Oryctolagus cuniculus: one gene and its partners. The protein of the gene in region 3 interacts with the protein of the main gene of each other region in a pairwise test. Links are inferred from orthologs where the notes say so. Each region holds a gene or a part of one and is shown on either strand. Other genes may lie near its edges. The genes, in order: FOXR1, NTAQ1, PPCDC and TXN2.

Region 1 (7,829 bases), on a different chromosome or scaffold from region 3:
TGCACCGATCCAAAGCCAGGAGCCAGGAGCTTCTTCCTGGTCTCCTACCTGGGTGCAGGGGCCCAAGGACCCAGGCCATCCTCCACTGCCTTCCCAGGCCACAGCAGAGAGCTGGACTGGAAAAGGAGCAACTGGGACTAGAACCCGGCGCCCATAGGGGATGCTGGCGCCACAGGCGAAGGATTAACCTAGTGCACCACTGCGCCGGCCCCTCAAATAAATCTTTAAAAAAAAATGCACCCAATGATTCTGAAGGATCATAGACCAAAAAAATTACATAAAAGACATTTTTTAAAAGATTTATTTTGTTTATTTGAAAGACAGAGTTACAGAGAGAGGTAGAGACAGAAAGGTCTTCCATCAACTGGTTCATTCCCAAAATGGCTGCCAACAGCCAGAACTGAGTTGATCCTAAGCCAGGAGCCAGGAGCTTCCTCTGGGTCTCCCACGTGGGTGCAGGGGCCCAAGGACCTGGGTCATCTTGTTGTACTTGAGTGAGTGCAGAGGAGCACCACACACTGATAAGATATGGTGGTCCTTTATTGCCAGAGGGGGAGAACAGGCTCATGCCCTAAAGAATTCTCAAGCCCGGAGCCCAAAGGAACAGGGTTTATAAAGGTAAAAACCACAAAAACAGGAGGGGGGGATACATGGTTGCTAGGATGGGGAGGTGGGGAATACAAGGTTACTGGGGTCAATCTAACCTAAAGCCTATGTGAAACTAATACCAATTGTAATCTTAACAATATCAGTTACAATCTTAACAATTTCAATTAGGTTCTTGACATTAATCCAGGTATTGGCCTAAATCATATTGAAGTAACACCTTGACAGCAGGGACTCCATTTTGGAGCACCTGAGACTCCATCTTGACTCCATCTTGAGAAAGCACCCCCCAATGTGAGACTCTGGTCTGAAACTATGACCTAAAACAGACAGTAGCAGTCCATGACATCACACTAGGCAGAGCAGAGAGACCCCCTCGCATGCTCGCTTAAGATTAAAAACAGATAGGCTACCCCTGGGTTAATGAGAAGACTGTAATTTGTCTATGTCCTACATACGATTTAGGCCAATACCTGGATTAATGTCAAGAACCTAATTGAAATTATTAAGATTGCAACTGGTACTGTTAAGATTATAATTGGTATTAGTTTCACATAGGTTTTAGGTTAGCTTGACCCCGGTAACCATGTGTTCCCCCTCCCCTCCTTGTGGTTTTTGCCTTTATAAACCCTGTTGCTTTAAGCTTCAGGGTCAAGAGTTCTTTAGGGCGTGAGCATGCTCTCCATCAACAGCAATGAAGAACCATCAATTTTATCAATGTGTGGTGCCCTTCTGTTTTCACTTGCTCAGGTATAACAACATGTAGGGCAGGGACGAATTACAGTCTTATCAGTAACCCAGGTGCAGCCTGTTTTTTGTTTTTAAGATTTATTTATTTATTTGAAAGGCAGAGTGAGAGAGAGAGAGAGAGAGAGAGAAAGAGAAAAAGACAGAAAGTCTTCCATCCGCTGGCTCATTCCCCAAATGGCCACAACAGCCAGAGATGGGCCAATCCAAGGCCTGGAGCCAGGAGCCAGAGCCTCTTCTGGGTCTCCCAAGAGAGGGCAGCAGGCCTGGGGCATCCTCCACTCCTTTCCCAGCCCACAGCAGAGAGCTGGATGTGAAGTGGAGCATCTAGGACATGAACTGGCACCCATATGGGATGCTGGCACTGGCCTCACCTGCTAGGCCACAGTGGTGGCCCCACCTATCTGTCTTCAATCTTGAGCGAGCATGCGAGGGGGTTTCTATGCTTTGCCTAGTGTGATGCAGTGGACTGCTACTGCTTGAGTATTTTAGGGCATAGTTTCAGACCAGAGTCTCATGGAGGGGGTCGGGGGGGGTGCTCCAAAATAGAGTCCCTGATGTCAAGGTGTTACTTCAATCTTCTACTGCTTTCCCAGGCACATCAGCAGGGAGCTGATCAGAAGTGGAGCAGCTGGGACATGAACTGGCACCCATATGGGATTCTGATGCTGCAGGCTGGGGATTTAACCTACTGCGCCACAGCACTGGCCCCACATAAAAGGCACTGTTGGGACAATTGGCAAAATTTGAATAAGATCTGTATACTGATTATAGAACTGCATCAAAGCTAAATTTTCTGATTTAGATACTTTTCTTATTTTTTATTATGTAAGCCAATATCCTTATTTTTGGGAAATACTGAAGTATTTATGGGTAAAAGTGCATGATATCTCCAAATTACTCTCAAAAAGCTAAGAAAAAAATACCTGTGTCATATGTATAAAAATTAAAAATGACAAATGTCAATTGGTAAATCTGGGAAATGGGTAAACAGGAATTTTCTTATAGCTTTTTTGGCATTTTTCTGTAAACTTAAAATTAAGGGGGCCACTGCTGTGGTGTAGCAGGTAAAGCCGTTGCCTGCAGTTTCACATCCCATTTGGGCACCATTTTGAGTTCTGGCTGCTCCACTTGCAATCCAGCTCTCTGCTGTGGTCTAGGAAAGCAGTAGATCCAAGTTCTTGGGCCCCTGCAAGCAGCTCTTGGCTTCTGGCTTCAGATCAGCCCAGCTCTGGCCGTTTCAGCCATTTAGGGAGTGAACCAGCAGATGGAAGACTTCCTCTCTCTGCCTCTCTGTAACTCTTTTAAGTAAATAAATAAATCTTTTTAAAATGCGATAAAATAATTAAGAACAAAATTAAGTCACCATTGAGTCTAATCCTATCTCCACCATCTGCTACGGAGGTGATTTTAGATAAGCCATAAAAACCCATCAGAAGTTCTAGAAGGCGGCTATAAATAGTGGGGGAGGGGAGGGCCACGACGCCTTTTAAACAAAATAACTGCACAAAAGCACAGATGGGGAGACTCTGTGGGACCCCTCCCTGAGGTTCCCAAGCCCCCAAACTCGACGGCCGCGGGCGAGGGCAGGCTCCCTCCGAGATTAGAGGCGTCAAACGAGGACTGGCACACCTGCGCTGCCTCCCTCCTAATTCTATCGGAGCGAGGGTACTTGAAGCCCTCGGAGGCCCACCCGCAGTCTCTCCCGGCTCACCCCCTGCGCGGCTGGGCGCGCCGCGCTCTCCCTAAAGGTGGACCTCAAACTCCAGCAGCTCGACGTCTGGGCCAGCCTCCATGGCCAGGTCCCGGGACTGCTCGACTGGGACATGGGGAACGAGGCCTTTCTGGCCTTCACCACATCGCATCTGCCCGTGGCCGAGCAGAACCGTGAGTGCCGGGCCTGGGGGAGGGGCGTGCGGCGGGCCGGGCGCGGGTCGCGGCGGGGCCAGGCGGCTCCCCGCACCCCGCGCCCGCGCCGGGGCCTGGTTGGCGGGGGCGCCGCGGTGTGTGTGCCCCTGCCCCGCGCGCGCGCCTTTCGACTGGAAGCCCCCGGAGGACAGCCGGTCTCGCCGACCTTGGCGCCTTCCTCTCCGCGCCCGGAACGTTCTAGGGCTCCGCCGAGCCGCCTCTCCTTGCTCGCTCATTGGCTCCTCGGCGGCGCCATTTGGAGCGCTGTAGGCTCGCCTTGTTTTTCTCTCTTAAAAAAAAAAAAAAAAAGGAAGGAACGGTGTTGTTTGTTTGCATCTCCACCTCTTGATGCAGACTTGTGCAGGGCTTGCTTAGGGGACGGTTGGCCGTCGCCTTGTTGTTTTCTCCTCCCCTTTGACCCTCCACAGTTGAGAGCCGAGGTAATTATTCCAAAATTCGCGGCACCTGTTTGCCAGCGCGGCCGCTAAAGCCTTGGGTTGACTCTGCCCATTTCCCCTCCGTGTTGGGATCCCAATCTTTTGATTGTCTTCCCAGCTCCCACGGTTTTCCGGAGCTCTTTGTGTTGCTAGATGCAGGGTTGGTTGGTTATTTCCTGCAGTTGGGTAGCCGCCTATGGTCCACGTGTGTTCCCTTCTGCGCTGTCACTGTCCTGACACCTAAACCCTCCCCAGCTGTTTGCCATGGTGGGTAATGCCACAGGACGTTCCTGTGTGTTCCCTCATTCAGGGCCTCGCCTTGGCCTGCCACTGTCCTGGACGCTGGGTGCACCGGGAATGGAGGGGCGAGCCGGCACAGGCTGCTGTCTCCTGGGGCAGGCAGACAGTGCCTGGAGGAGCGGGTTATGTCCTATGTCTAACCTGTAATGGGAAAGGAAACATGGGATGGCACGGTTGGAGGTGCTCCCAGCTGTGGTGTTGCAGGGTCGTGTAGACCTCCACTGGGAACAGGATACTTGAGCAAGGAGTTGAAGGGGATGAAAGCCGTCCTGCTCCATGCCAGCGTCCTCGGGTGTTTGGGGAGCTGCAGAGAGGCCAGTGAGGCTGCATCCAGGCCATTGCCGAGCTCACGGGCTGTGGGTGCAGAGGCGTTTGTCTGCTGTGTCAGGACTTCAGTATTGACTTCACGTGAGGCACGGCTGGGAGGTTTGAAGCAGACAAATGATGTGACCTGGGGCCCCTCTCGTGAGCCTGCTGCCCACTATGTCACTGCGGTCTTGTCTTTCTGGTGTGAGCAAGGAGCCCCATGGTTTCACTTTGCATCGGGCCCTACAAATGACAACCCTGGTTTGACAAGATGTTCAGTCTGGAAGGATCCCCGTGGCTGCCAGCTGGAGGGTGTGCTGTCTGTGGGGGGAGAGAATGGCAGACCAGGTGGGGAGGGGCGAAGGCGGCCACAGTTGCTGGTGGATTGGATGCCTGGTGGAAGGAAGAGATCCTAGAGTGGCTGTCTGAAGCTCTTGGTGCATCAGGTGAAAGTCTGGCACTGCTAGAAGTGTTGAGTAGGCGGTTGGACCTAAGGGCCTGGTGTTCTGGGAAGAGGTGAGGACTGCAAGATGTAAATTTCCAAGCTTTGGAATATGGGTGGGGTTTGAGGAGTGAGGCCGGGAGGGCCAAGGATGAACCCAGGGGCATTGCATTATAAAAAAGATTAGGGAGAAGAGATAAGTAGGAAAAAATAAAGACCAGTGAGAACCAAAGCTATGGGACTGGTGTCCGGGAAACCATTCTAGGGAGGGTTCAAGGAGGGGAGAGACTAGTGGCTGATTTAGCATTCTGGAAGTCCCTGATGACCTTGGGGGGGGGGGGGGTGTAGAATGGAAAGCTGATCAAAGAGCTTTAGGGATGGAAAGAGAGAGGCTGGAACTCTCTAAATAAATAAATAAATAAAGGAATGGGAGGAGGGGCAGTGAAGATGAAAAGTATAAATTCTTCTTTCAAGGAATTCTGTCTCAAAATAGTGGTGGCCAGGTTCAGAAAGTGGGGGCCAACAAGTTCTTTTTAGTCACACGGGAGAATTAACAGCACATTTGGGTGCTGGTGAGAATAGCAACATTAAGGACACAGGAAAGAGGGAGGGTTCCTGGGACGTTGTCCCTGAGGGCACAGGGAATCTGCTGGCCAGAAAGACAGAGGCTCTCTCCTCGGATCCTGCTGAGGTCTCCGGTCCGCCGGCTTTCCTCCCTGTTCTGTGGCTTTCAAACAGAACCCTGATTAGGTTCAGCCCTGCCAAACAAGTGCTCTTAAGTCTTTGGTCCATGGGTCGGTGATCGTGGGAGGTCCTAGTCGGGGTGGGGAGTGAGTTAGCTGGAGAGACAGAAGGTGGCACATTCTTACGTGGTGCACAGACGAGGTTATGGAGAGGCTGCGGTTACTGGTTTAGCTCATGATGGAGAGGGACTACTTTAGTAGTGTGGAAGTGTTCAGGAAACAGCCAGGACTTAGGGCAGGAGTGATGGAGAGGGTGACAGTAAGCCCTTTCAGATGAGGGGGAGTGGCCGAGAGTTTAGTGGAGGACAGTAGCCGAGGAGACTTAAGTTCCCTGTAACAGGAGCAGTCTGGGGGGTGGCTGCACTGAGTGCTCCATGTGGGGCTGAGTGGCTGACAGCCGGAAGTGCAGGGTGATCAGGGGTTCTGTTTTCTTCATGATTCTTGTTAATCTGATTGATGTGAAGTGTTGTATTTTATTTTTTAATTGCTAATAAGGTTGAACATCTTTTAGCCACTCGGTACCCCTCTTTAGGAATGCTGATTTTTTTTTCTCACTTGTAAATTTGTTGATCTTTTATTTAAGGATTTGTGGGAACTCTGCATGTTAGAGAACTTTGGGTTGAATTTTTTCCCTAGTTTATTGTCACTTGTCTTCCCCCTTGGCTTATGGTGACTTTTAGTGTGCAGAAATTCTAATTTTTTTAAAGATTAATTTCGGGGCTGGCATTGTGGCAGGGCAGTTAGGCTGCCACTTGCAATGCCAGCATCCCATTTCAGGGTGCCTGGGATCTCTCTCTCTGTCACTCTGCCTTTCAAATAAATTAATTATAAAAAGAATTAAAAATGATCTTAAAAATTTATTTTTAGAGAGATTTTTCCATCTGTTCGTTCATTCCCCAAATGTCTGCAACAATCTGGGGCTGAGCTGGGCTGAAGTCAGGAGCCAGAAACTCCATCCAGGTCTCCTTCGTGGGTGGCAGGGACCCAAGTACTTGGGTCATCTGTTACTATACCAGGCACGTTAGGAGGGAGCTGGATGGGAAGCAGGGGAGCCGGGACTTGACCTAGCACTCTGATACGGGATGCCAGTGTCCCAAGTGGCAGCCTCCACACCAGCTGTCCATTCATTTTTATGTATTATTAAATGTGCATAAAAATGTATAGGTTGTTGGGGTCGGTGCTGTGGCGCAGTAGGTTAGTCCTCCGCCTGTGGCGCCCCATCCCATATGGACACCGGTTCTATTCCCAGCTGTTCCTCTTGCAACCTAGCTCTCTGCTGTGGCCTGGGAAAGCAGGTCTTGGGCAAGTCCTTGGGCCCCTGCACCCACGTGGAAGGCTAGGAAGAGGCACCTGGCTCCTGGCTTCGGATGGGCATGGCTGCTGCCATCTGGGGAGTGAACCAATGGAAGGAAGACCTTTCTCTCTGTCTCTCCCTCTCACTGTCTGTAACTCTGCCTCTCAAATAAATAAATAAAATCTTTTTAAAAATGTATAGGTAGCCGGCGCCGTGGCTCAATAGGCTAATCCTCCACCTTGCGGCGCCGGCACACCGGGTTCTAGTCCCGGTCGGGGCGCCGGATTCTGTCCCGGTTGCCCCTCTTCCAGGCCAGCTCTCTGCTATGGCCAGGGAGTGCAGTGGAGGATGGCCCAGGTGCTTGGGCCCTGCACCCCATGGGAGACCAGGAAAAAGCACCTGGATCCTGGCTCCTGCCATCGGATCAGCGCGGTGCGCCGGCTGCAGCGGCGGCCATTGGAGGGTGAACCAACGGCAAGGGAAGACCTTTCTCTCTCTGTCTCTCTCTCTCACTGTCCACTCTGCCTATCAAAAATAAAAAAAATAAAAAAATTAAAAAATGTATAGGTTGATTTGAAAGGTAACTGACATCTTTATTGTCTTTGTTTATTCAAATCTGTTATGTCATTAAATACTAATTAGATTTTCCCCCATTCTTTCATGGGTTAACTCCTATCTACTTATATATTTTTTAAAGATTTGTTTATTTGTAAGGTAGAGTTACAGAGAGAGGAGAGAAAAGGAGGAGAGACAGAGATCTTCCATCCTCTGGTTCACTCCCCAAATGGCTGCAACAGCCAGAGCTGGGCCGATCTGAAGCCAGGAGCCAGGAGCTTCATCTGGGTCTCCCACATGGGTTCAGGGGCCCGAGGACTTGGGCCATTTTCCACTGCTTTCCCAGGAGCATCAACAGGAAGCTGGATCGGAAGTGGAGCAGCCTAGACTTAACTGGCACAAATATGGGATGCTGGCACTGCAGGTGATGGCTTAACCCACTCTGCCACAGCACCAGCCCCTGGTTCTTACTGTAAATGCTACGGTTTTAA
Region 2 (7,908 bases), on a different chromosome or scaffold from region 3:
AGGCAGTTACAGAGAGAGGAAGACAGAGAGACATCTTCCACCCACTGGTTCACTCCTCAAATGGCCGCAATGTCTAGTGCTGCACCAAATGGAAGTCAGGAGCCAAGACCTGAGTGGGAGGACCCAAGGACTCAGGCCACCTTCCATTGCTTTCCCAGGCACATTAGCAGGGAGCTGGATCAGAAGTGGAGTAGGGGCTAGAGCTGTGGTGTAGCAGGTAAAGCCGCCTCCTGTAGTGCCAGCATCCCACATGGGAGCTGGTTCGAGTTCTGGCTGCTCAACTTCCAATCCAGCTCTCTGCTATGGCCTGGGAAAGCAGTAGAAGATGGCCCAAGTCCTTGGGCCCCTGCACCCCCCAGAGAGACCCAGAAGAAGTTCCTGGCTCCTGGCTTTAGCTCAGCCCAGCTCCGACCATTGCGGCAATCTGGGGAATGCTCTCTGTAACTCTGCCTTTAAAAAAAATAAATATTTTTTAAAAAAGATTTATTTTTTATTTAGTTGAATAAAAATAATCCACTAACCACAATGTCCCTCCCTTTTTCTCCCTGCCCCTGGGGAATGAACCAGCAGATGGAAGATCTCTCTCTGTCTCTGTCTCTTCTTCTCTCTCTGTAGCAGACTTTCAAATAAAAGGGCAGGTGATAATGTCCCCCAACTGTCAGTCAATCATTTCTGTAGCAGAAGAGCTGACAGAATAGCACAATGAATGAGACTATAGTGGTTACAGGCTGAGGACAGAAAAGCAAGTGGGGAGGAGGCGGGAACCCTGGCATCCAGAAGCTTTTCCACAAATGCTTGCAAAATACAGAACAATTGGCCGGCGCCATGGCTCACTAGGCTAATCCTCCGCCTGCAGCGCCAGTACCCCAGGTTCTAGTCCCGGTTGGGGCACCGGATTCTGTCCCGGTTGCTCCTCTTCCAGTCCAGCTCTCTGCTGTGGCCTGGGAGTGCAGTGGAGGATGGCCCAAGTGCTTGGGCCCTGCACCTGCATGGGAGACCAGGAGGAAGCACCTGGCTCCTGGCTTTGGACCCGCACAGTGCTGGCCATAGTGGCCATTTGGTGGGTGAACCAACAGAAGGAAGACCTTTCTCTCTGTCTCTCTCTCTCTCTCACTGTCTAACTCTGCCTGTCAAAAAAAATACAGATCATTTTTTTTTATTTGAAAGGCAGAGTTACAGAGAGAGAAGGGGAGGGGGGAGGTAGGGAGAGGAGGAAAGGGAGGGGGAGGGGGAAAGGGAGGGGAAAGGGAAGGGAGGGGGAGGGGGAGGGAGAGAGATTTTACCTTTGCTGGTTCACTCCCTAATAGGCCGGGGCTGGACCAGGCTGAAGCCAGGAGCCCAAAACTTCTTCCAAGTCTTCCACATGGATGTAGGGGCCCAAGGACTTGGGCCATCATCTGCTGCTTTCCTGGGTGCATTAGCAGGGAGCTGGATTGGAAATAGAGCAACAGACCCAAACTCGTACCCATATGAGATGCCAGTATCGCAGGAGGCAGCTTAACCTTCTGCACCACAACGACAGCCCCGAAATACAGAACAATTAAAACAGAATCAGAAATGCTCTGCAAGCTACATCATCCCATACAAATACTGGCTGCCATGACAAGTACTTCAAAAAAGTCTGTGGAAAAATGGAACTAAAGTGTAAAATTATTTTTGGTGCAAAAAAATTTTTAAATCCATGCAATGTTTTTCATAAGCATTTTCTATGAACTGTTTTAAGGCCGTGACTACACATGAATTTCAAAAAACTATACCAGAAGTGTAGAGGAGGCTTCTATTTCAAGTTAGAAGAACCTGTAGGATGGGGTTAGCATTGTGGTGTAGCAGGTTAGGCCTCTGCCTGCGGTGCCAGCATCCCTTATAGGCGCTGGTTCAAGTCCCAGCTGCTTCACTTCCAATCCAGGTCCCTGCTGATGTGCCTGGGAAAGCAGCGGAGGATGTCCCAAGTGCTTGGGCCCCTACACCCATAAGGGAGATACAGGGGAAGCTCCTGGCTTCAGCACAGCCCAGTCCTGGCCTTTGCGGCCATTTGGAGAGTGAACTAGTGGAAGACCTCTCTCTGTTTCTCCTCCTCTCTCTGTAACTCTGCCTTTCAAATAAAAAATAAATCTTAAAAAAAAAAAAAAAAAAAAAAAAAGTGTAGGGGCTGGCATTGTGGCTTAGTGGGTAAAGTCACTGCCTCTAACACCAGTATCCTGATTAAAAAAAAAGAACCTACAGGAGCAAAAGTGAAAAGTACTTAGGTGTGCAGACAGGGCAGAGTATTGGTTTCTAACCAGAGGGACACACAGTAATATCGAGACATTCTTGGTTGTGGCAGCTGGGGAGAAGGTACCAAGAGCATCTAACACGTGAAGGCCAGGGATGCTGCTACACATCCTGCAATACCCAGGAGAGCCCCCACAGCCAAGAATTATCATGCCCCAAATCTCAACAGAGCCAATATTAAGGAGGGACCCTGGAGCACAGCTCAGATGGCAGGTTCAACATGAGGCTGGAAGAACAGTGACCAGACCCTGGAGAGCTTGCTATGTTCAGGAGATGCACTTTATTGTCCATGCCTGCCTTCCTTGAAATGTAATCAACAGACCAGCCCTCGTACTCTCCAACCATGCTGCTTACTCACTCAAGCCTTATGAGGTGGCACCCTCCCATCTGCAGGTTCTGGAGCCAAGCAAGGTTAAAGACTTGAGGTAGGGGAGGTCTGCCTGAAAGGCCTGGTAGGAAGCAACTAGAATAGCCTCCATGACAGCCGAGAAGGGCCAGGCCTCTGGCTAAAGGAACTCAAGGAAATGATCTATTAAAGACACATTGATCTAATGGGCTGGCGCTGGGTGCAGTGGGCTAAGCCTCCACCTGTGGCACCAGCATCCCATATGGACTCCGGTTCTAGTCCCAGCTACTCCTCTTCTGATCCAGCTCCCAGCTGATGTGCCTGAGAAAGCAGCGGAAGACGGCCCAAGTGCTTGGGCCCCTGCACTTATATGGGAGACCCAGGGGAAGCTCCAGTCTCATGGCCCAGCCCTGGCCTCTGCATCCATTTGGAGAGTGAACCAGCAGATGAAGACCTTCCTCTCTGTAACTCTACCTTTCTAATAAGTAATAAATAAGTTTAAAAAAAAAAAAAAAAAGAAGTGTAGGAGCTAGCACTGTGGCTTAGTGGGTAAAGCTACTGCCTGACACTATGAGACTACACTATGGCCTGGGAAAGCAGAAGATGGCCCAGCTGCTTGGGCCACTGCACTCACGTGGGAGCCCTGAAAGAAGCTCCTGGCTCCTGGCTTTGGATCGGCCCAGCTCCAGCTATTGCAGCCATTTGGGGAGTGAACCAGTGGACGGAAGACCATTTGCTCTGTCTCTCCCTCCTTCTCTCTGTAACTCTACCTCTCAAAGAAATAAATAAAATCTTTTAAAAAATCAATAAAAATTTAAAAATTAAATCTTAAAAAAATACTACATGGTACCCCATACCAATGAACATGTGTTACAAGTTAACCAAAAAAATTTTTAAAAAGAGACACTGATCTGCACCAGCCTTCTTGACAGTCCCAGAACGCTCACAGCACACTTCCTTCTGGGTACATTTCCGCCTGCTGTTCTGTCTGAGATCAACTTTGTCCTGTACCCACAAAGCTCCTACCCTCTGTTTCTTCAGACCTCTGTTCAAACCACTTTATGGGCAATGTCCCTAAATATCCTAATATAAGACAGCATAAATCATCACCCCCTACCTTGTCTTATTTTTCTAATACCATGCAAACATGGTTTACTTGTTTTCAACTGTTCTCCCTCCATCGAAACGTAAGAATCACGAGATCTCACCGGAGGATTTAAGTCTGTTCACTGCTATGTCCTCTGTGCCTGGATTCATGCATCACGCACTCCAAGGCCCAGTAAACGTTTACTGAATGAATGAATGGAGCAATGCATGCACGGTAGGGATGAGAACACAGAGATCTAGGAGCGGCAGGGAAGAAACAGAGTGCAGCGGGTAAGACGCGCGGGCTCCAGCACCACACAGGCGGCTCCAGCTGCACCACCACCGCTTGCAAACAGTGTCCCGATGGCTCAGTCTCACCAGCAAAGGGGGGCTAATGGTAATCGTAGAACCTATTTCCTAGGGATGGACGGAAGCTCTTGCCACCGGGCCTGACACGCAGCCGGAGTGGAACAAAAGGCAAGCCGTCAGTAGCAACAGTCAGACGACCAGCTAGGGGCTAGGGAGTAGTTTAGAGGGTCCTGAGGGTCAGCAACTGGAAGACGGGGTTGGGGGGTAGGGGGAGAAAGGTGAGAGATGAACAGGGCGGGCGGGTGGTGCTGCAGCTGCAGAGGCGGCCGGGGCGCAGTGCCCGGAGCCCACAGCCAGCCTCCGCCAGGACACCCGCATTCCCCTTTAGGCAAATGACCTGCCCCGCTCTGCGCTTCTTCCGTCTGGGGATAAACTAGAGCGCCCTCCTCCTGGGGGTTCCTGTGCTTGTTCCCAAAACCACGCAGGGTGCCGTGCACACGTCACCGACGTTAACTGTAATGACAGCTGAGCGGTAACAAGACCGTGGGTTCCGGCGCCGGAGGAGCCTGAGCCGGACTCCCAGCGGCTGTCAGCTGGAGGACCTCAAGAAGAAATCCCTCGAACTCTCTGTACCGCGACCATTTTCCAAAGTTAGGCCCCGCAGCGCGCAGGCGTCAGCAGAGTAACTTCCAGAGCTCTGAGCTGCAGCCCCCCGCGTCTGCGCCAGGCACTGAGCTCCGCCACGCCTGTCCGGTGAGAGGCGCCGGGCAGAGGCAGCGAGCCTGGCCTTTCGCACTCCGCAGCTCTACTCCAGAGACCAAGCCTGCCATTCACGCTCCCTCCTCCCGCAAACCAGCGAACCCCGCCGGAGAGGGGCCGGAACGAGGCGGGGCCGCGCCGCTCCGGGGTTCCGGGGGTTGCGTCCGCGCCCCCTCACCAGTAGCAGCTGCTGTAGACACAGGCGTCCCGCGGAGGGCCGGCCGGCTGGTAGCAGGCGGCGGCGGCGGCAGGGCAGTCCCCCGCCTCCATGGCGGGCTAGCTTGGGCCGCGGCCCGGGCAGGAGGCGGCCCGAGTGGGCCAATCGCTGCAAGCAGCCGGCGCGCAGCCCACAGCGCCCGCTCCCGGAGCGGAGTAGGTGGAGCCTGAGGCGGCCAGGGCAGTTTCCGGGTGGCGGAGCCTGGGCGGGGTGGGCGGAGCCTGGGCGGGGCAAGCGGCTCAAGTTGCCAGCGCGCGAAGGTCCGGACTGAGTGGGCGGAGCTCGGGGGAGGACGACGCTGGATTTTCGAGAGGGTGGAGCCAGGGAGAAGTGGGCGGACCCGGGTCGCAGACGGCTGCGTGGTTCCGGGTAGGCGGAGACGGTGGGGAGGGGAGTGGGGGCGGGAAGAGCTGGCGCCCAGGCTTCCGGGGGGCGGGCTCTGGGGCGTGGTCGGCGTGCGGGGTGAGGCGGGGACGACGAGAATCCTGGGCGAGAGGGTCCGCGGCGAGCGGCCTGAGGGAGGAGTTAGGGGAGAGTCTGGAGTTGGTGAACCCCGGGGCCCTGAGTGGCTGGGCTGGCGTTGCCCGCTGGGCTGTGGAGGAACCAGATGGACTGCCATTAGAAAGGCTTTGTGTGTCAAAATGGGCGCTGTAGTTTGGAGCCCGGGGGAGAGGTAGCGGTGGAGGGTAAATTCCAAGTAGGACCGTCGCGAGGACGGTTTTAGGAAGGAATCACACCCCAAATGTAGCATTTTTTTTTTAATTAGGAGGGCTGTATGTATTGGCTGGGAAGGATATATTGGTCCCTGGATACAGTCAGAAAATAAGTTGCAAAATCATCTTTCTGTGTTAACCATGTTTATTTGCTGGCAGTCTGGAAGGAAAGCCGCCAAACGGTGAGAACTCTGGTGAAGGAATGGTTCTGGGATGTGTGCTTTCAAGGACTTAGACTTTACACTCTGTGTTTGCAACAGACCTATACTGGGACAGCTGATCAGAATCCTACCATTATCCAACTGAAATGGTTAGGTTGGCCAGGGCCGTCCGCGGCAGATTCTCTGATCTGTGTCCCAAAGCCCTTAAACACTTTTGCGCTTTTGTGTCCGATTTGGATTTGTTACCTCTGGGGTCTGAACACTAACCAACCGACAGAATTCCCCTTTAGAGAGAGCTGGAGGGCCATTGCGGGAGGAAGAGGCTCCCAGGAGTTTCTGGGCTCCATTCCAGCCACGGGTGTGGTCACGTCCAGTGCAGTCTGCCCTGCCTCAGGCCCAGAAGGTGCGTGCTCTGTGACCTTTTCAGCCGGCCATACTCCTCCTTCAGCCCCTCAAGCCAGAGCCTTTGTCCCCAGTGGCCAGCAGTCACACAGCAGGGTCCCCTCCTCCCCACCCCCAGCACACCGAAGGCCTTCTGTGTGTCCCCAGACTGCTGGTTCTGGTGACCCGCCTGCCTATCCTTTCCAGGGTGGCCTGTTCTTTCCCAGCAACCCCAGACTGCCTCCAACATCGCCGGAGTGATAAACTTCTAGTAGCACACCCACCTTCCTTGGTTTGGAGCCATAGAAAATTTCATTATGCCTGATTATAGGATTTTATATCTTGTAGTAGCCTTACAATAGTTACACATTTACCACAATTAATGCTTCTTTTAATTTTTTAAATTTATTTTCAGTTTATTTGAAAGACAAACAGATCATCCATCAACTGGTACATTCCCCAAATGCCAGCAACAGCCAGGACTGGACCATACTGAAACCAGGAGCCTGGAATCCAATACAGGTATTTCATGTGGGTAGCAGGGATCCAAGTACTTGAGCCATCACTTACTGCCCCCCACAGTGCTCATCAGTAGGAAGCTAGAATTGGAAGCTGACCTGGGACTTGAAGCCAGGTACTCCCATTTAGGATGTGGGCATTGAAGTGATGCAGTAACCACTGAGCCACATACTTCCACCATTAATTCTTTATATTCAACTTTCCTTGCATTACCTACTGTGTAGTTTCTTGTCTCATGATTGGACTCCGACTGCTATACGCCTTCAAAGCCAGATTAGGTAGGTTCAGTGGTTTCCTAGTTGTGTGACCTGGAGCGAAGTTACTTCAGCCTGCTGGACCTCAGTTTCCTCACCTGCAAAATGAAGTCATTAATAGTACTACCTACCTCATAGGGTTTAGGGTTGGTAATGCTGGTTAATTGAATGTATGTGTATGAAGCACTTAGAAGAGTTGCTGGCACATAACGCTAAATGCTAGCAACCATGATTTTTGGTATAATCTCCCCTCATGACTTCCAACATACCCCACATGTCCATCACTGAGTGCCTTGCTCTTCCTTAGATACTCCAAGGCTGTGTGCAAGGTAACTGTCTACTTGGGCTGATGTGTTCCTCCGCCTTCCTTATTGGCAGCTTTTTCCAGAAATTGTTTCCTTCCATCTTTTCACAGCTTCCCCCACCACCACCATTTTATCACAACTTCTATTCACATGTCTTGAACAGCAGTATCATACATCAGTAATCAAACATCAGTAATTTAAGCTGACTGTCTCTACCTCTGCCGTGAGCTGCTCAGGGCCTGGATTTTGCTTTGGGAAGTAGAATAGTATAACAGAGCTAGGGCCAGAAAGACAGACTTGAATCCTATCTTGACCACTTATCCTGTATAACTTTGGATGAGTCACCAACCTTTCTGTTTATCAGTTTCCTTGTAAAATGAGGATAAGAGTAGAGTGCCTACTTAATCGATATTGTAATACATATAACATAAACTGATCTGTACAAAGCACTTAGCATAGTGCCTGGTAAAGCATAGGTACTGTCAAGGATAGCTGGACTGAGCCAGGTGTTGTGGTGCAGCAATTTTAGCCACCACCTGGGACACCCACATCACTTATCAGAGTGCCTGCCCCGGATTCTGATCCAG
Region 3 (7,247 bases):
ATTATCTGTGGGTTTCTGGTTTTTATTTATGTATTTTGTCTCTTTCCCTGCCATTCAGCCTTCCTCCAGTGTCTAATACCCTTGCTTGGTTCTTGTTTGAATGTCAAAGACTCCATCTTTGCTGTCTGGCAGGCAGGTACGCAGCTGGGGACACGAAGTTTTATTGGGGACCTTGGAATTTAAAACCTGAAGGTGCCGCCCTCCACTCCCAGGTCATTTGGTTTTTCCGGAAAACACTGTAGTGGTGTCCTGCCTCGTACACCAGGGTTCTTAGTGCCAAGTGTGAGACGAGGACTCAGCCTTCTGGTCATTCCATAAGTTATCTCTTTTATTCCAGGCTCCTTTTTAACCACGATTTGCCAGATTTGGCATGTGGACCCCTGCGGGGGCAGGGCAGGGTGATGGGTGGGCTGCCTGGGCTCGGGGGGAGATCTGGGGGCTTACCTGTTCCTCCTGCGGGAGGGGAGCCCAGCTCTGTGCCGCAGGTGCGCAGTGGCTGCCGCTCCTGAGCCCGTCGTGCGCCCTGGTTTCTCAGCTGCTCCCAGCTCGCAGCGTTTCCCTTTCTCGCCTGTCTGGTGCCGTCTGATCCCATCTGTCCCCTTCCTTCTCCCGCAAATGAGTTTGCCTCACGCTGTCCTTTTCTGTCCTCTTCTCTTTGTTCTGCAGTGTTTGTATCTTTCTTAGAAATTACTTTCACAAGGGCCTCTCAAAAAGTTTGCAGGAAAATGGAATTAAAAGGTCAGTTGGGGGGCGGGCATTTGGCACAGCGCTTTAGGCACCCGTTAGGATGCCCACGTCCCACACAGCAGTGTCTGGGCTCAGTGCTGACTCCACTCCTGACCCAGCCTCCTGCTAGTGCGCACCCTGGGAGGCAGCGTGGTGGCTCAGGTGGTTGGGCCCCTGCCATCCACGTGGGATCTGGATGGAGTTCCAGACACCCAGATTTGGTGGGGCCCAGCCCCAGCTGTTTTGGGCATTTGGGGAGTGAACCAGTGGGTGGAGGATCTCTGTTTCTGCCTCTCTTCTCTCTGCCTTTCAAATAAATGACTTAGTGTAGAGACAAAGCCTTGCTCCTGCGTCCTATCGAAGGCTGTGCACGGATCCCCTGTGGTGTCTGCTGCTTCCCTCCTCCCACCTTGTTGGGCGGATAGAATTTTCTTCTGCTAGTTTGGAAGTTAGATGCTCCTCTCTAGGTGATTGTGCCCCACACTTGACCTTGTGTCTTTCCCCACGGGGAAGATGAGACCCACGGCAGTGCCCTGTGCCGCGGCCTCTCTGGGGCTGGGTGCTGCAGAGGCGTTTCGCTCAGGGCTGGACGAGGCTTGTTGGGGCTGTGCGCGGCCATGCCAGCACTCTGAGGGGCTTGGTTTAAAGGGCCCCTCCCCGACGTCCCTGAGGTTTGTACAAGGCCTGTGGAGGGAAGACGCTCGTGGGAGTGAGGTGGAGAATGGATGGGTCACCTCCTGCACTGCTTCCTCCCAGACTTCTGCTTCCTGCTCCCAGGTGCTGTCCAGAGCTCGCTGACCGCTCAGGCCTGGAGCTGAGTTGGCACAGGCATGGCACGCCCCAGCCGCGAGGCCGCCCTTGCTCAGTGCCCCCAGGTCAGCGAGTAGGGAAATGGGGCCAGCAGCCCTCAGGCTGTCAGCCTTTCATGGGAGCCAGGAAGTTCAGTTTTCTACATGAAGCCTTCCAATCTGTGTTGGCTCAAAACAGGTCCCCAGCGTGACTGTACGCCCACTGCTCTGCTCCTGGGCGGGCGTCCCCTCCCGACACGCTGGGGACACGCTGGGGACACACTTTCCTTCTCCCTTCCCCTCCCAGCCTGGTAGTCTGACCGCACGTCTCACACACGCAGACGCTGCCCCGTGCTGTGTGGGCGATTTATGAGTAAACGATGGGCGTGTGGAGGCCGCTGAGAGCAGGCCCCCTTCCCAGGATTCCTTGTTCCTAGAAGCACCCAGAGGCCTCTGCTGCTTTCTCACTGGGGCTGGGGTGTGACTGCGGGGCCAGACCAGCTCCCAGTGCCTTGCCTGTAGAGGGCAGGGCTGCCATGTGCTGGACTCGGACCCCGTGAGGCCACCGCAGTGGCTTGAGCTTTCTCCCTGTCACCAGCCTGCTCCGCCTGCCAGCCACTGTGCCCGGGCAGCGGGGCCTGCTGCTCCCTGAGCACTGGATGGTGGGCACGGGTGCACCTGGGAGGGCCTGACCTCGGGTGACAGATGCGGGCTGGCTGCTGTTGCAGCCCTCTGCCCCGACGGCCCCCAGGCCTGCGGGTCTGACGGTTTCTCCCCTCCTTCCTCCGCTGGTGCTTGGTGACAGCTGGAAGTTGCAGTGGTCACAACTGAGAGAGCCAAACACTTCTACAGCCCCCAGGACGTGGCCGTCGCCCTCTACAGCGACGCTGACGAGTGGGAGGTCAGTGCGGGTGCGTTCCCACCAGCAGGGGCAGGACAGCCCTCCCTGCAACTGGGCTGGGCTCCCGTCAGCGGTCAGGGCCATCTGGGCAGAGACGGCGAGGAAAACATCTGTCCGGCTGCTGGCCTGCGGGCGGAGCTCAGCCTGGCCAGGTGCCCGGGGTCGAGTGTCCTTGTACTTATCTGGCCTGGTGAAGCCACAGAGCCGCTCTGTTCCCACCACCCTGGTCCACGTGGCTCCTGGCGTCAGCGCCTCACTTCCCACGGCCGCCGGGCCCATTCACCAGACGCCGAGCAGGGCCTCCCAGGGGTGCCCTGCCAGGCGATTTTAAACATTCTCAGCCCAGAACATTTCTGGCTGGCCTGCCTCCCCCACCCCGCCCTGGGGCCCTTCTGCTGGCTTGGACAGCCCAAGCATCCGCCTCCAGCCCGGCGGGAGATCCCTGCCAGATGTCAGCGCTCTGGAAAACCAAGCCATAGAGGGAATGGCTGGGAGACAAGGGGCATTTGTCTCTTAGGGCCTGGCTTCTCTCAGGCCCCGCTTAGCTGTGGGAGGGATGCGGGCCCCTGACCTACTGTGCCTGGCCCCTCTCCCCGACACACACGCTGAGAGAGTGGCCATCTCGGTGACCCCGCCCCCTTCCCTCGGCCAGATGTGGAAGCAGCGCTGTGACCCTGTGCTGCACATTGACCTGCGGAGGTGGGCCGACCTCATGCTGGTGGCCCCGCTGGACGCCAACACCCTGGGGAAGGTGGCCAGCGGCATCTGTGACAACTTGCTTGTGAGTGACCTCCCGTGCCCTCCCCTCTGCCCGGGCCTGCTAAGCTGCAGACTTCTGGTGCAAGGAGCCTCTTCCGTGGGCCGGGGCCTGCCTCACTGTCTGTGCAGCAAGTGGTCCCGGGGTCCCTGGAGGGGCTGCACCTTAGCACTCAGCCCTGCCTGGGCTGCCCCTGCCCTGCGCTGCCGCTGGGCTCCCTGCCTGGCCCACAGCCTCCCCGTCAGCTCTGGACACGCATGAGGCCGAGCTGAGAGGGGGTGGACTTCCGCAGGGGTCTCTCGTGCACAGTGAGGCCGAGACACGGTGTTCCCGTCTGTTAGGGGGAGCTTAGCGGGAGCAGCAGACGGCAGGTGGGGGGAGCTGGCAGGCATCCAGCCGTGCAGAGCGGGTGCTGTCTGGGACCTGCAGCCTCCCGGGAGCTGGCGTCCTGGGAGCTGCCCTTGCTTCTGTGGTCGTCCTGGAAGATCTGAGTGCGAGCTCTCCCCTGCCGTGAGACACGGCACTCACGATCGGAAGGCACGCTCACCCGCGCCCCAGCCAGCAGTACGGTCCTGCCAGGCCCTGTCGGGCACCCTGGTGTTGTGCGGGCGTGGGAGGCGAGTAGTGACTCCACTTTCACAGACAGCCCGCAGTTCTGAGCTCGATTTGGGAAAGAACGGGAGTCGTGACGCGGAGGCGGGGCTTGGGGTCAGATGCACGGTTTGTGTCCTTGCCCGCTTGCCAGTGGGCTCTGCAGTGTCAACCTCGTCTGAGGCAGGGCTTGGGGCGAGCAGGGCGCCCACGCCGTGTGCTGCAGGAGAGCTGGCCCCTGGAGGCCACGCCGTGTGCTGCAGGAGAGCTGGCCCCTGGAGGCCACGCCGTGTGCTGCAGGAGAGCTGGCCCCTGGAGGCCACGCCGTGTGCTGCAGGACAGCTGGCCTCGGAGGCACCAGGAGCGCTTCCTGGCGGGGCTGCTCCTGGGGCCTGCAGGTGAGGCGCCCAGTCCTGCTCATCACAGAGGGGTCAGCGTGTGTGACCAGCCTGACCCACAAGTCCCAGGCCTCCCACTGGCTGTCCAGCTGCCTCCCGTATGACAAAGCTCGCTGACCTCAAGGACCTCTCCCTTCCTTTTTCCTTCAAAGCTGCTGCCACCCCTGAACTCAGGACACCCCCCCCCAAGCTGGCAGGCACGAGGCTCACGAAGCTTGAACTGGTGTCCTCGCTCAGTGGCACTCACCGCATGCCCCCCGCAGGGCCCCCCGCCTGCTGTCTCCCTCCCCACCTCTTCTCCCTTCCAGTCCAGACCCTGGGATGCCAGGGGAGCCTGCTAGGAGTGGGCCTGTGCCCCTTGCCTCCGTGTCTGCCTTCTGGCCCATGCAGGCCCCGGCCTGTCCTGTGCCACACAAGCAGGCAGATCTAGAGAGAGGAGGTGACTTCCCAGCATGGAACATGCAGCTGGGAGCGGGCTGTTGGCTGAACACCAGCCCTTTGGTGTCTGGTTGGATTCCTGGGTGCAGAACCAGAGGCGCAGGACACAGATAGGAGTGGCCGTGTGAGCCAGTGACTTCCTCTCCTCCCTCCTGCTGCCAGTGGGTGACAGGCAGGGTGGCAGGCAGGTGGCTCAGAGGAGCCGTGGGCTGCCCAGGAAGTGCTGCTGTCCAAGGTGAGGTAGGGAGAGCTTGCTGTGCTGGGCTTTGAAGAGGGCACCTAGGAGCCTCCACTCAGCCCCCCACCCCACAGCGCTAGGGCAGCAGCAGGTGGCTGGGGCCAGGAGGAAGTGCAACCGAAACCGGCCACTCACAGCCCAGCTGCCGTGTTGCCAGCACTGGGTGGGAAACCGACGCTGTGTCTGAGATGACGCAGGCAGTAGGTCTGGGGCTGTGTGGGACAGAACTTCCTTCCTGTCCCCAGGGGAGGGCAAGGGCACCTAGGGCAGCTGTGGTCCTGGCCTGTTGGTAGCATTCCCAGATGGGCCGCACTGCAGGGGGGGTTTCATGTCCAGGGAGGAGGCGCCTGCAGCCGTTGGTGCCTGGGGGAGCCCGCTCCCTCCTGGGGCAGCCCCCGGCCCAGGGAGCCTGTGTCTGGCAACCACAGGAACTGCTTGAGGGCCGGGGCCTCGCGCCAGCCCTTGCTGTGAGCCCTGACAGCCTCTCGCCCGCAGGCCTTGCAGCTACACAGGAAGGACTCTGAGGGAGGGGCTGCGCCCCCCAGCCCGTGAGAGGAGGCACAGCCAGGTCTCTGTGAGCTGCTGGGGTCTGGCTTCGGGGGGCAGTGGGGTTTTGCAGGGTGGTGGAGGAGGGCAGAGGAGCACAGGGTCGCCTTCAGCGCTCGCCTGTCAGGGAGCTGCAGCTTGCCCGGCTGCGGTGGGGCAGCTCCTCTGTGAGGGTCGCGGTGAGGGTTCGGAGGGAAGTGTGAGTGTCTGAGAAGGTTCTTGGCAGCGCCAGGTGGCCTAGAAGCAGAGCTGATGCAGGCAGTCTGCTCCAGAGGAGGTGTGAGCCCAGGGCTCAGGCTCAGGCTGGGGCACAGGGAGCCTTCCTGCAGAGGACAGGGGGCCTGCCTGGAGGGGGCCGGGCCGCTGGCAGTATTGCCCGAGCACCTCCTGTGGGGGGCCAGGGGGCCCGCCAGCCAGCTAGCTAGCTGCCTGCCGATAGGCTGCACCGGGCCCCTGCAGCCTGGGGCTGCACTGCTGGTGCAGGGCCTAGAGGACGGGGTGGGTGGCGGCAGACCTGCAGGACCCCCGCCCCGCCTCCTTCACAGACCTGTGTCATCCGGGCCTGGGACCGCAGCAAGCCCCTGCTCTTCTGCCCGGCAATGAACACGGCCATGTGGGAGCACCCAATCACCGCCCAGCAGGTGGACCAGCTCAAGGCCTTCGGCTACATCGAGATCCCCTGCGTGGCAAAGAAGCTGGTGTGTGGAGACCAAGGTGGGCGTCTCACCAGCCTCACAGCCTGGCCGCAGAAGGGCTTGTGATGGTGGCAAAATCGCCCCCCTCACTGGACCTTGGGAGTCGCCAGAGTGGTCGGGATGAACGTCACGGGCAGGGCCTGGTGGAGTCCCTGGCACGCAGCCCCATCCCAGGGCCTGTGCTGTGCTGTCCAGGAAGGATTCCAGGGGTGGCTTAGGCAAACGCACTGGCCTGGCCTTGGGCTCTGGGTAGGGTACCTGGCGGAACCCTGGGAGGGGCTGTGGGCCCCATCTGGCAAGTCCTTGGCCATAGCAGAACTTTGCTCCCAGGTCTGGGGGCCATGGCGGAGGTGGAGACCATTGTGGACAAAGTGAGAGAAACCCTGTCCCAGCACGATGGCGTCCAGCACGGTTGAACTGGGGTTTCCGTGCCGTGTGGCCTCTTCTCCTGGCCGAGCTGCGAAGGAGGGAGGCGTCCACCCTTGGTGAAGAGGCCCATGTTTGCTGAGCAGGGCTCTGACCTGGGCCTGCCCTGGAGCTGCCCCAGGCACTGGCCTGCTCCTGGCTACACTGCATCAGAGGCTTTGGGCCTGGCTTCTCCCAGAGGACGCCTGCTGCCTGCAGCCCCTTCTGCCTGTTCCCAGAGTGGTGCCGTGATGGTGGCTGTGTTGTCCCTGTGCTCCTGGGCGCAGGACTCAGTGACAGGAGACCTGGAGGTCCTGGCGGGGTGGGTCACTTGCCTAAGTGCCCACCGGCAGGACGTGGTGTCCACTGACCGTGCTGTGAACCTGGGGTGCTGGGAATAAACAGTGACCTTCTTGGGAAGGGTCTGGGCTGACGCTGGCTGGCCGATGCTCCTTCGTCCCGTCCCCTGCTCGAGTCAGTGCGCCCTGCTGGCCCCGACTGGCTCTTCTCCCTCGCCGTCCTACGCTCGTGGAGGTGTGGGGAGGACCGAGGGAGAGAAAATGCGTGGAGTACAGCAGCCCCCTGCCCCGCCCCAGCGCCTGCCTGGAGCCTCGAGGCCTGAACCCCTCATGCTGTTTCCTCCTGGACCCACATTGCTTTCTGCAAGCACAGGTGAGCGGCCAGCGGGGCTGGACCTGCCTGGGCCCCCGGTGCCTGTGTGTGTGGTCTCCTCTGCTGTCCTGCTCCTGAGACGGGGCTGGGTG
Region 4 (7,677 bases), on a different chromosome or scaffold from region 3:
GCCGACGGCCCGACTTCGCGACGGCGCACAGGGCACACATATATGTAGGAGCCACACTCTGAACCCTGACCCTTCCTGGGCTAGAGACACGTGACTGGGCGCCGTGGTGCTGGGCACTGGCAGCGCGCGCGGCTCCGGTCAGCCCCTCGGCCACAAGGAAGATGCCCGACACGCCCCGTGCTGCCGAGCCAGGCCGGACCCAGGCACCCTCGATGTGTGTCCGACTCGACATTCTCAACGCACAGTGGCCTTGCTGGCAGCTAAGGCCACCGGAAGTCAGGGGGGATCTGGGTCTCAATGCACACGCTGTTGGAGACACGTTAAAAAGTCTGTGTTCACAGAGAGGCTCCTCATCCAGCAGCTGGGCCTGCTTCCTCAACTGCAAACGGCAGCCCGTGCCCCCTAAAGCCCTACGAGAAGGCAGGCTGTGCCCCCTAAAGCCCTTATGAGAAGGCAGGCCGTGCCCCTCCGGCTGTTAGGAGAAATCGGCCATCTTAAACGGCCTCTGGGGCCTGCAGCTGCTTCCAGCGCCCTGTGGACTGCGGGCTGAAGGCAGGGGCAGCGATGGCCGGGCGTCCACAGGGTTCCAGGCCCACTGCTGCACCTCCTCTGCTCTTCCTGCAGACTCCTCAAATCTGCTGACACCACAAAGAGCCCCCCAAAACCGAGGCCCACAGGCATTAGGGAAAGTCCCAATGGGGGAAGCGGGTTAGGACGCCGAGGGGGACGTGTGCGCCCCGCACAACGCCGGGGTTCGGGCCCCATCTCCAGTCCGGACACCAGCTTCCTGCTCGCGCGCGCGCACCCTGGGAGGCAGCAGGTGGCGGCTCAAGTCCGTGGGAGGGCTGCATGGAGCTCCTGGCTCCTGGCCATGGTCTCGCCCAGCCCCCGCTGTGGCCGGCATTTGGGAGTGAACAAGAGGGCGGAAGATTGAGCTCTGTGTCCTTCCTCCTCAAACTAAAAACAAAACAGGGGAAAAAAAAAAAAAAAACAGAAAAGCCTTTTCCATTCAGAGATTCAGCCGATGACCTCGGAGCCCCTAGAGCCCACAGCAAGGCCTCAGCTCCTCCCCAAGCAAGGAGGGAGCCCCAGGACACGGAGTGGGCCGCCCCAGGACAGGGAGGGGGCCGCCCCAGGACAGGGAGTGGGCCGCCCCAGGACACGGGGTGGGCCGCCCCAGGACACGGAGTGGGCCGCCCCAGGACACGGAGTGGGCCGCCCCAGGACAGGGAGTGGGCCGCCCCAGGACAGGGAGTGGGCCGCCCCAGGACAGGGAGTGGGCTGCCCCAGGACAGGGAGGGGGCTGCCCCAGGACACGGGGTGGGCCGCCCCAGGACAGGGAGTGGGCCGCCCCAGGACACGGGGTGGGCCGCCCCAGGACAGGGAGTGGGCCGCCCCAGGACAGGGAGTGGGCCGCCCCAGGACAGGGAGTGGGCCGCCCCAGGACAGGGAGTGGGCCGCCCCAGGACACGGAGTGGGCTGCTCCAGGACAGGGAGTGGGCCGCCCCAGGACAGGGAGTGGGCCGCCCCAGGACAGGGAGGGGGCTGCTCCAGGACAGGGAGTGGGCCGCCCCAGGACACGGAGTGGGCTGCTCCAGGACAGGGAGTGGGCCGCCCCAGGACAGGGAGTGGGCCGCCCCAGGACAGGGAGTGGGCTGCTCCAGGACAGGGAGTGGGCCGCCCCAGGACAGGGAGTGGGCCGCCCCAGGACAGGGAGTGGGCTGCTCCAGGACAGGGAGTGGGCCGCCCCAGGACAGGGAGTGGGCCGCCCCAGGACAGGGAGTGGGCTGCCCCAGGACACGGGGTGGGCCGCCCCAGGACAGGGAGTGGGCCGCCCCAGGACAGGGAGTGGGCCGCCCCAGGACAGGGAGTGGGCCGCCCCAGGACACGGGGTGGGCTGCTCCAGGACAGGGAGTGGGCCGCCCCAGGACACGGAGTGGGCCGCCCCAGGACAGGGAGGGGGCTGCCCCAGGACAGGGAGTGGGCCGCCCCAGGACAGGGAGTGGGCTGCTCCAGGACAGGGGGTGGGCCGCCCCAGGACAGGGAGTGGGCTGCCCCAGGACAGGGAGTGGGCTGCTCCAGGACAGGGAGTGGGCCGCCCCAGGACAGGGAGTGGGCTGCCCCAGGACAGGGGGTGGGCTGCTCCAGGCCACGGCGAGTCAGAGGGAGCTGTATAGGCAGCTTCAGAAGCTGTCAGCGACTCTGCCCGGTCTCCCACCTCCTGACTCAGCCCACAGCACACCGGCTCCCCGGGAGGCCTCGTCCTCAGGGGTCTGGCATCTAGGCAGGACCCAAGAGACTGGAAATGGAGGCCAGGTTAGAAGAAATCGCAAAGCCGCTGGCCTTTAAGTATCCAAACCAACTCGTACAGTGCTGGAGAAAAGCTTGCCCTCCCCTACATGCGTGGGCACCACTGTGGTGGCGTGGAAAATCTCTATTTTTTTTTTTAACGATTTATTTATTTATTTTGAGAGGCAGAGTGACAGACAGAGAGGTCTTCCACCTGCTGGTTCACTCCCCAAATGGCTGGGCCGATCTGAAGCCAGGAGCCAGGAGTTTCCTGAGGGTCTCCCATGTGGGTGCAGGGGCCCAAGCACTCTGGCCATCCTCTGCCTTCCCAGGCCACAGCAGGGAGCTGGATCGGAAGTGGAGCAGCCGGGACTCGAACCGGCGCCCATAGGGGATGCCAGTGCCTTAGACAGAGGCTTAACCTGCTCCGCCACAGCGCCGACCCCGGTGCTCTCTCCAAGGGGGACTCTGGGCTTTCCACCTGGTGCGGAGGGAACACAAATGCTCCCCCAGCACTGACTGCGGCCACGGTCAGCCCTGCAGACCCCCCTCGGGGAGGCGGGGCGTCCACGCTCACCACTCTCTGTGTGTCAAACGCCCATCCCGACCCTGGGCCCCGGCGGGCGCTCGGGGAATGCCCGAGTGAGCCCAGTCCTGTCTCAAGCTGACTGCCGCCCCTACTCACTGTGCGTGGAAATCCACAACCACTGGCGTCTCGCTGTTGACGACTCGGTCCTGAAAGTCGGATCCATCCTGGATGTTAAAGGTCGTGGCCAGCACTCCGGTGGCGTGCAGCGTCCGGGCCGGGCTGGGTGTCCCTGTGTGGCCACCGGGGCCGCACGGCGGGGTCCGCGCCGCGCTGAAGGCGAGCGGTGCCCACCGACTCTGGGCGGGCTTCCTGGAGGCGGCGGCAGCCAGGAACCTCCTCAGGAGAAGTCGCTGAGCCATCTGTAAGGGAAGCTGGGGCACACAGTAACAGACCCATGGGGAGGCCGACCGCCATGAGATCACAGCGGAGACTTCTGGGGCAGAGGGGCCGCGGCACGAAGGAGGGCCCAGGCGACCCGGGCTGACCGCCGCCAAAGGGCTTGGGCGGGATTCCCAGGACGGAGGGAGGACCCAGTGTCTGCAGAGCCCCGCGACGGGCCAAGTGCCTGTCACACATCCCTGGTCCTCGCAGGTCAGCTGCGGCCACGCCCGGGACCCCGGCCGCCCAAGGGCAGTCCACGCGGGGCCCCAAGGCCGCCTCTGCGCCTCGCTCCTCTACAAAGCGTTTCGGAGGGAGATGAAGAACGCACACAGGGACAGGGATGCGCGTAGGCTCAGAAACGGGGAACCTCAGCCATTCCAGGAGGAACCAAGAGACACAAGGGTCGGAGTGTGGAGGGAACCAAAATACAAGGCACACGTGTCCGGGGGGAACTGGGAGAAACGGGACGCCGCCTGGGACCCCAGCTCTCCGCAAGGCCAGGTCCCCCCGCGGCCCGGGCCTGCGCGGGAGCGCGCCCGCAGAGAGCCGCAGACGCGACCCCACCTCGGGCCATCCCAGCCGCTTACCTCCCTACAGCGCGAGAGGAGGGATGCGCAGCCCAGCCCTCCCCGCCCGTCAAGGGCACTCAGACGTCACTTCCTCAGGGGCGGGCCTGCCTATCGTCACTTCCTGGAACGGGCAACCTGGAGGGCGTCGCTGGCTGTTTGGATTTTCCGCCAATGGGAATAGCGGAAGAAGGCACACCCCAGGAGGCGGAGCTTCCGCGACACACCGGAAGGGGAGGATGAACCGCGGGTGCGATGGGACCGGAAGGGGCGGTGCGCCCTAGCGGAGGGACCGGAAGAGGGAGCGGAAGGGGCGGGGTTACCGAGACGGGGGGCGTGGTTCCGGGTTCTTGCTGCGGTAATGGCCGCTGCTCTTCGTCTGCCAGTGGCTCCTCCCAGTGACTCCTGCAGGTGCTGCAGGGTTCTTTCCCTCGGCTGACATCCTCAAAGGCTTGGTACCAAGCTACTTCCCTGGCGGTCTGGGGGCCGCTCTGTGTCCCTGGCCTGTGACGCACAGCGGGTCACCCTGCCCCCGGGGGCGTCGCTGGGGACCGGAGCCCTGGCGCGTGCCTGCCTCAGGCCCCAGGTGACCAGGGCGAGCTGGGCCCGAGGCCCGAGGCCTTCCCTTCTCGCCGTGGCCGCTGTCTTGTCTCGGGCCGGTGGCACAGCCTTCTCCTCTCCCCTGCACACGGCGCCTGGCAGTGCGGCCACGCGGGGCCTCGTAGAATCCTGTGGACGCAGCGATGGCCTGTTTGCTTTGCGTCACACCTGTCAGGAAAGAGCGGGAGTGTCGAGCCAAAGCCAGAGCGGCTTATTCAGAAGAGCCAGCAGATGGAAGATCTCTCTGTCTCCCTCTCTTTCTGAGGCTGCCTTTCAAATGGATGAATCTCTCTTTTTAAAAGATTTTAGTCATTTATTTGAGAGGTAGAGACAGAGAGAGGTAGAGACAGAGAGAGAGGTCTTCTCTCTGCTGGCTCACTCCCCAAATGGCCGCAATGGTCAGAGCTGTGCCGATCTGAAGCCAGGAGCCAGGAGCTTCCTCCCGGTCTCCTACGCAGGTGCCGGGGTCCAAGGACTTGGGCCATCTTCTACTGCTATCCCAGGCCATAGCAGAGAGCTGGATGGGAAGTGGAGCAGCCGGGACCTGACCCGGTGCCCCCATGGGATGCCCGCACTGCAGGCAGCGGCTTTACCCGCTACGCCACAGCGCAGCCCCTACAGACTGATTTCTATTGCCCTGCCTAGCAAGGCTGTCTTGACCTCCATTTCAACAGCCTGGGGGTGTGAGTGAGTTCCCGAGTTGACAGAAATGTCTCTCCCAGCCCCGCCCTGGCTTCTCCCTCTGCTGTCTGCCAGAGAAAGTGCTCCCGCAGCCAGGCCAGGAGTGAGCCTGGTGAGCCCTCTCGGCGGCCGTGAGCACGTTCGTGCGTCGATTTAGTTGCATTTTATTAGGCAGGCAGAGAATCAGACACAGGGAAGCCTCCATCTGCTGACTCACTCCCCCAACCCCCAGACTGCCAGGGCTGGGCCAGGCCAAAGTCAGGAGCCCAGAACCCAGTCCAGGGTGGCAGGGACGCCAGGACTTGAGCCATCATCTAAAGCCTCCGTGCGCTCATTAGCAGGGAGCTGGAACAGGAGCGGAGGGGCTGGGACTGCAAACAGGCATCCCAGGGGCACCCTCCCTGCTGCGCCAGGACTCTCCTCCGAGCCTCTGCCAGTCATGCGCTTGGGCCGCCTTGCTCTTGTCTGTTTCTTTATTCTGCGAGCCCTCTCCGGTCCGTCTCTGTCTGCGTTGCCCCCTCTCCATCAGGCCGCGGGGCCTGATGCCTCATGGTAGGTGCTCATGAACAGAGAGCAGTGACCCAGATAGAATCTTCTGGCTGCAAATCCCGTTTTCCCCGTCACGTGGCATGGCCCTATTGTGCCCTCTGTGTTTCTTGCAGCGCAGCTTGGCCACGTCGTGCTAGTATTTGTCCCCCGTCCAACGGGCAGGTTTCCCAGTTCTCTGCAGAGAGCTCTCCTAGCGGGATGGGGTGGGGGTGGGGGATCCTTGGAACAGGCTGCCAGCCGCCATGTCGACCTTCCTCTTGACAGGGTGACTTGGCCACGGCTGGCAGGGCTGGACGGAACGGGGCCCCTCCGCGCTGCCTGACCCCCACACTGGAGCCCGGGGTGGGACTGCCAGGCCCCTGGTGCCTCCCTGACGGGGCTGCTGCTGCCGGCTCGTTTTCAGACCCACTTTTCTGTGTCTCTGGAACTTCCTGTGCCACAGCCACCCACCCACCCTCTGGAGCACCTTCTTTTTTTTTTTTTTTTTTTTTTTTTTTTTTTTTTTTTTTGACAGGCAGAGTGGACAGTGAGAGAGAGAGACAGAGAGAGAAAGGTCTTCCTTTTGCTGTTGGTTCACCCTCCAATGGCCGCCACTGCAGCCGGCGCACCGTGCTGATCCGATGGCAGGAGCCAGGATCCAGGTACTTTTTCCTGGTCTCCCATGGGGTGCAGGGCCCAAGCACTTGGGCCATCCTCCACTGCACTCCCTGGCCACAGCAGAGAGCTGGCCTGGAAGAGGGGCAACCGGGACAGAATCCGGCGCCCTGACCGGGACTAGAACCCGGTGTGCCGGCGCCGCAAGGTGGAGGATTAGCCTATTGAGCCACGGCGCCGGCTCTGGAGCACCTTCTGCAGAGCCAGTTCCCCTGCTGGATTCACGTCCTGGGTTCCAAGGGAAGACCGGGCCCGTCTGTCCTTAGCCTGTGGTCATTTCGCCTCTGCTGGCCTCAGGCTTCTTGTCTGAGGAATGGGGAGAACAGTGCTTGCTGGGTGGAGAGGCTGTGTCTTCAGTGCCTCATCCCTCCTGCAGGGGGAGAGTCGGTGAGACGGCCCTCAGCCAGCCAGAGCGGACCTGGCCTGGGTGTGGCCGGAGCACAGGTGTGAGACCAAGGGCGGGCATCTTGGGCCGAGGGTAAAGCGCCTACCACGCCCTCTTGCCGGTATTCGTTGCAGAGTTTTTCAGAAGTGGGATGTGAGCCATCGTGGATTTGCAAGATCAGTTTAGTGAGTTGCAATCAGCTTTGCAAAACACAGAGCAGAATTGGAAACATCAGGGTCCGCTGTCAGAGTAGGGCCTGGGGAAGCATCTGTCGCTCTCGTGTCTGCGTGGCCTAAGCTGGGATACAAAGGACCCCAAAGCTGCTGGTTTACTGGAAGAGTCAGCGAGCCCGGCTCGGTTCCAGCGCCGCGCGGGGGGCCACTGTGGCTCCTACAGCCCGGTGAGGCTGCGAGTTACAGTCTCCCTGTTACTGCGAGAGCCTCTTAACAGAGGTTAAGGAGCTCGTCCAGGTCACCCAGCTAGTGGGAAGGCGCTGTGCACCCCCAGCCCAGGGCCCGGGCCCCACCTTGCGGCCTCTCCTGCCAGCTCCCCCGCCGGCAGGCCAGCCAGTGCAGGTTCAGACTCGGTGGACGGAGCCGCCGCCGCACGGTGGCGCTGTGGCTCCCGCGGCCCGTTCGGCAGCCCGACCGTGACCGCGTATGTGCGAGAGGCGATGCGCGGCCGAGCGCGGCTTTCCCAGGGTCATTTCCTTTCCAGGTCCACCCTGACGGTCCTTTAGGGGTTGTTTTACTTTGAGCTGTCGCAGAACGATCAGATCCCAACGCAACGTGGCTTGCGTGTGCAGTTCCAGAGGCTGGTTTCCTGCTGTGGGGGTCTCCAGCAGGTGCACCACGGCCCCTTGAGTGTCAAGGCTGCGAGGGGTGGGGGAGGGGACACCTCGGGGCCTAGACACTCTTAGGCTAGGGTCCCTGGCGTTGCTGGGGTCGGATTCGAACCCTTGCGTCTTTTTTTTTTTTTTGACA

The links.
Region 1: the proteins of PPCDC (region 3) and FOXR1 interact in binary tests that used the Homo sapiens proteins (3 or more experiments, as listed by UniProt). The two-hybrid records come from large-scale screens. The link is inferred for Oryctolagus cuniculus from reciprocal best matches to the Homo sapiens genes PPCDC and FOXR1.
Region 2: the proteins of PPCDC (region 3) and NTAQ1 interact in binary tests that used the Homo sapiens proteins (3 or more experiments, as listed by UniProt). The two-hybrid records come from large-scale screens. The link is inferred for Oryctolagus cuniculus from reciprocal best matches to the Homo sapiens genes PPCDC and NTAQ1.
Region 4: the proteins of PPCDC (region 3) and TXN2 interact in binary tests that used the Homo sapiens proteins (3 or more experiments, as listed by UniProt). The two-hybrid records come from large-scale screens. The link is inferred for Oryctolagus cuniculus from reciprocal best matches to the Homo sapiens genes PPCDC and TXN2.

What each region holds. Positions count from the first base shown.
Region 1 is NC_091432.1:111,302,826-111,310,654, reverse strand, and holds the start of FOXR1 (forkhead box protein R1), read left to right. Parts: upstream 1-2,832; 5' UTR 2,833-3,179; coding exon 3,180-3,240; intron 3,241-7,829. UniProt on the Homo sapiens protein: Transcription factor which acts as both an activator and a repressor.
Region 2 is NC_091437.1:149,129,280-149,137,187, reverse strand, and holds the start of NTAQ1 (protein N-terminal glutamine amidohydrolase), read right to left. Parts: upstream 5,166-7,908; 5' UTR 5,042-5,165; coding exon 4,950-5,041; intron 1-4,949. Other genes in the region: ATAD2 (ATPase family AAA domain-containing protein 2), read left to right, coding at 5,843-5,883, 6,153-6,265, 6,659-6,765. UniProt on the Homo sapiens protein: Mediates the side-chain deamidation of N-terminal glutamine residues to glutamate, an important step in N-end rule pathway of protein degradation.
Region 3 is NC_091443.1:108,737,725-108,744,971, reverse strand, and holds the end of PPCDC (phosphopantothenoylcysteine decarboxylase), read left to right. Parts: intron 1-2,319; coding exon 2,320-2,415; intron 2,416-3,067; coding exon 3,068-3,196; intron 3,197-3,601; exon of another isoform or gene 3,602-5,405; intron 5,406-5,928; coding exon 5,929-6,097; intron 6,098-6,408; coding exon 6,409-6,494; 3' UTR 6,495-6,916; downstream 6,917-7,247. UniProt on the Homo sapiens protein: Catalyzes the decarboxylation of the cysteine moiety of 4-phosphopantothenoylcysteine to form 4'-phosphopantotheine and this reaction forms part of the biosynthesis of coenzyme A.
Region 4 is NC_091442.1:113,722,207-113,729,883, forward strand, and holds the start of TXN2 (thioredoxin, mitochondrial), read right to left. Parts: upstream 3,998-7,677; 5' UTR 3,847-3,997; intron 3,250-3,846; 5' UTR 3,238-3,249; coding exon 2,975-3,237; intron 1-2,974.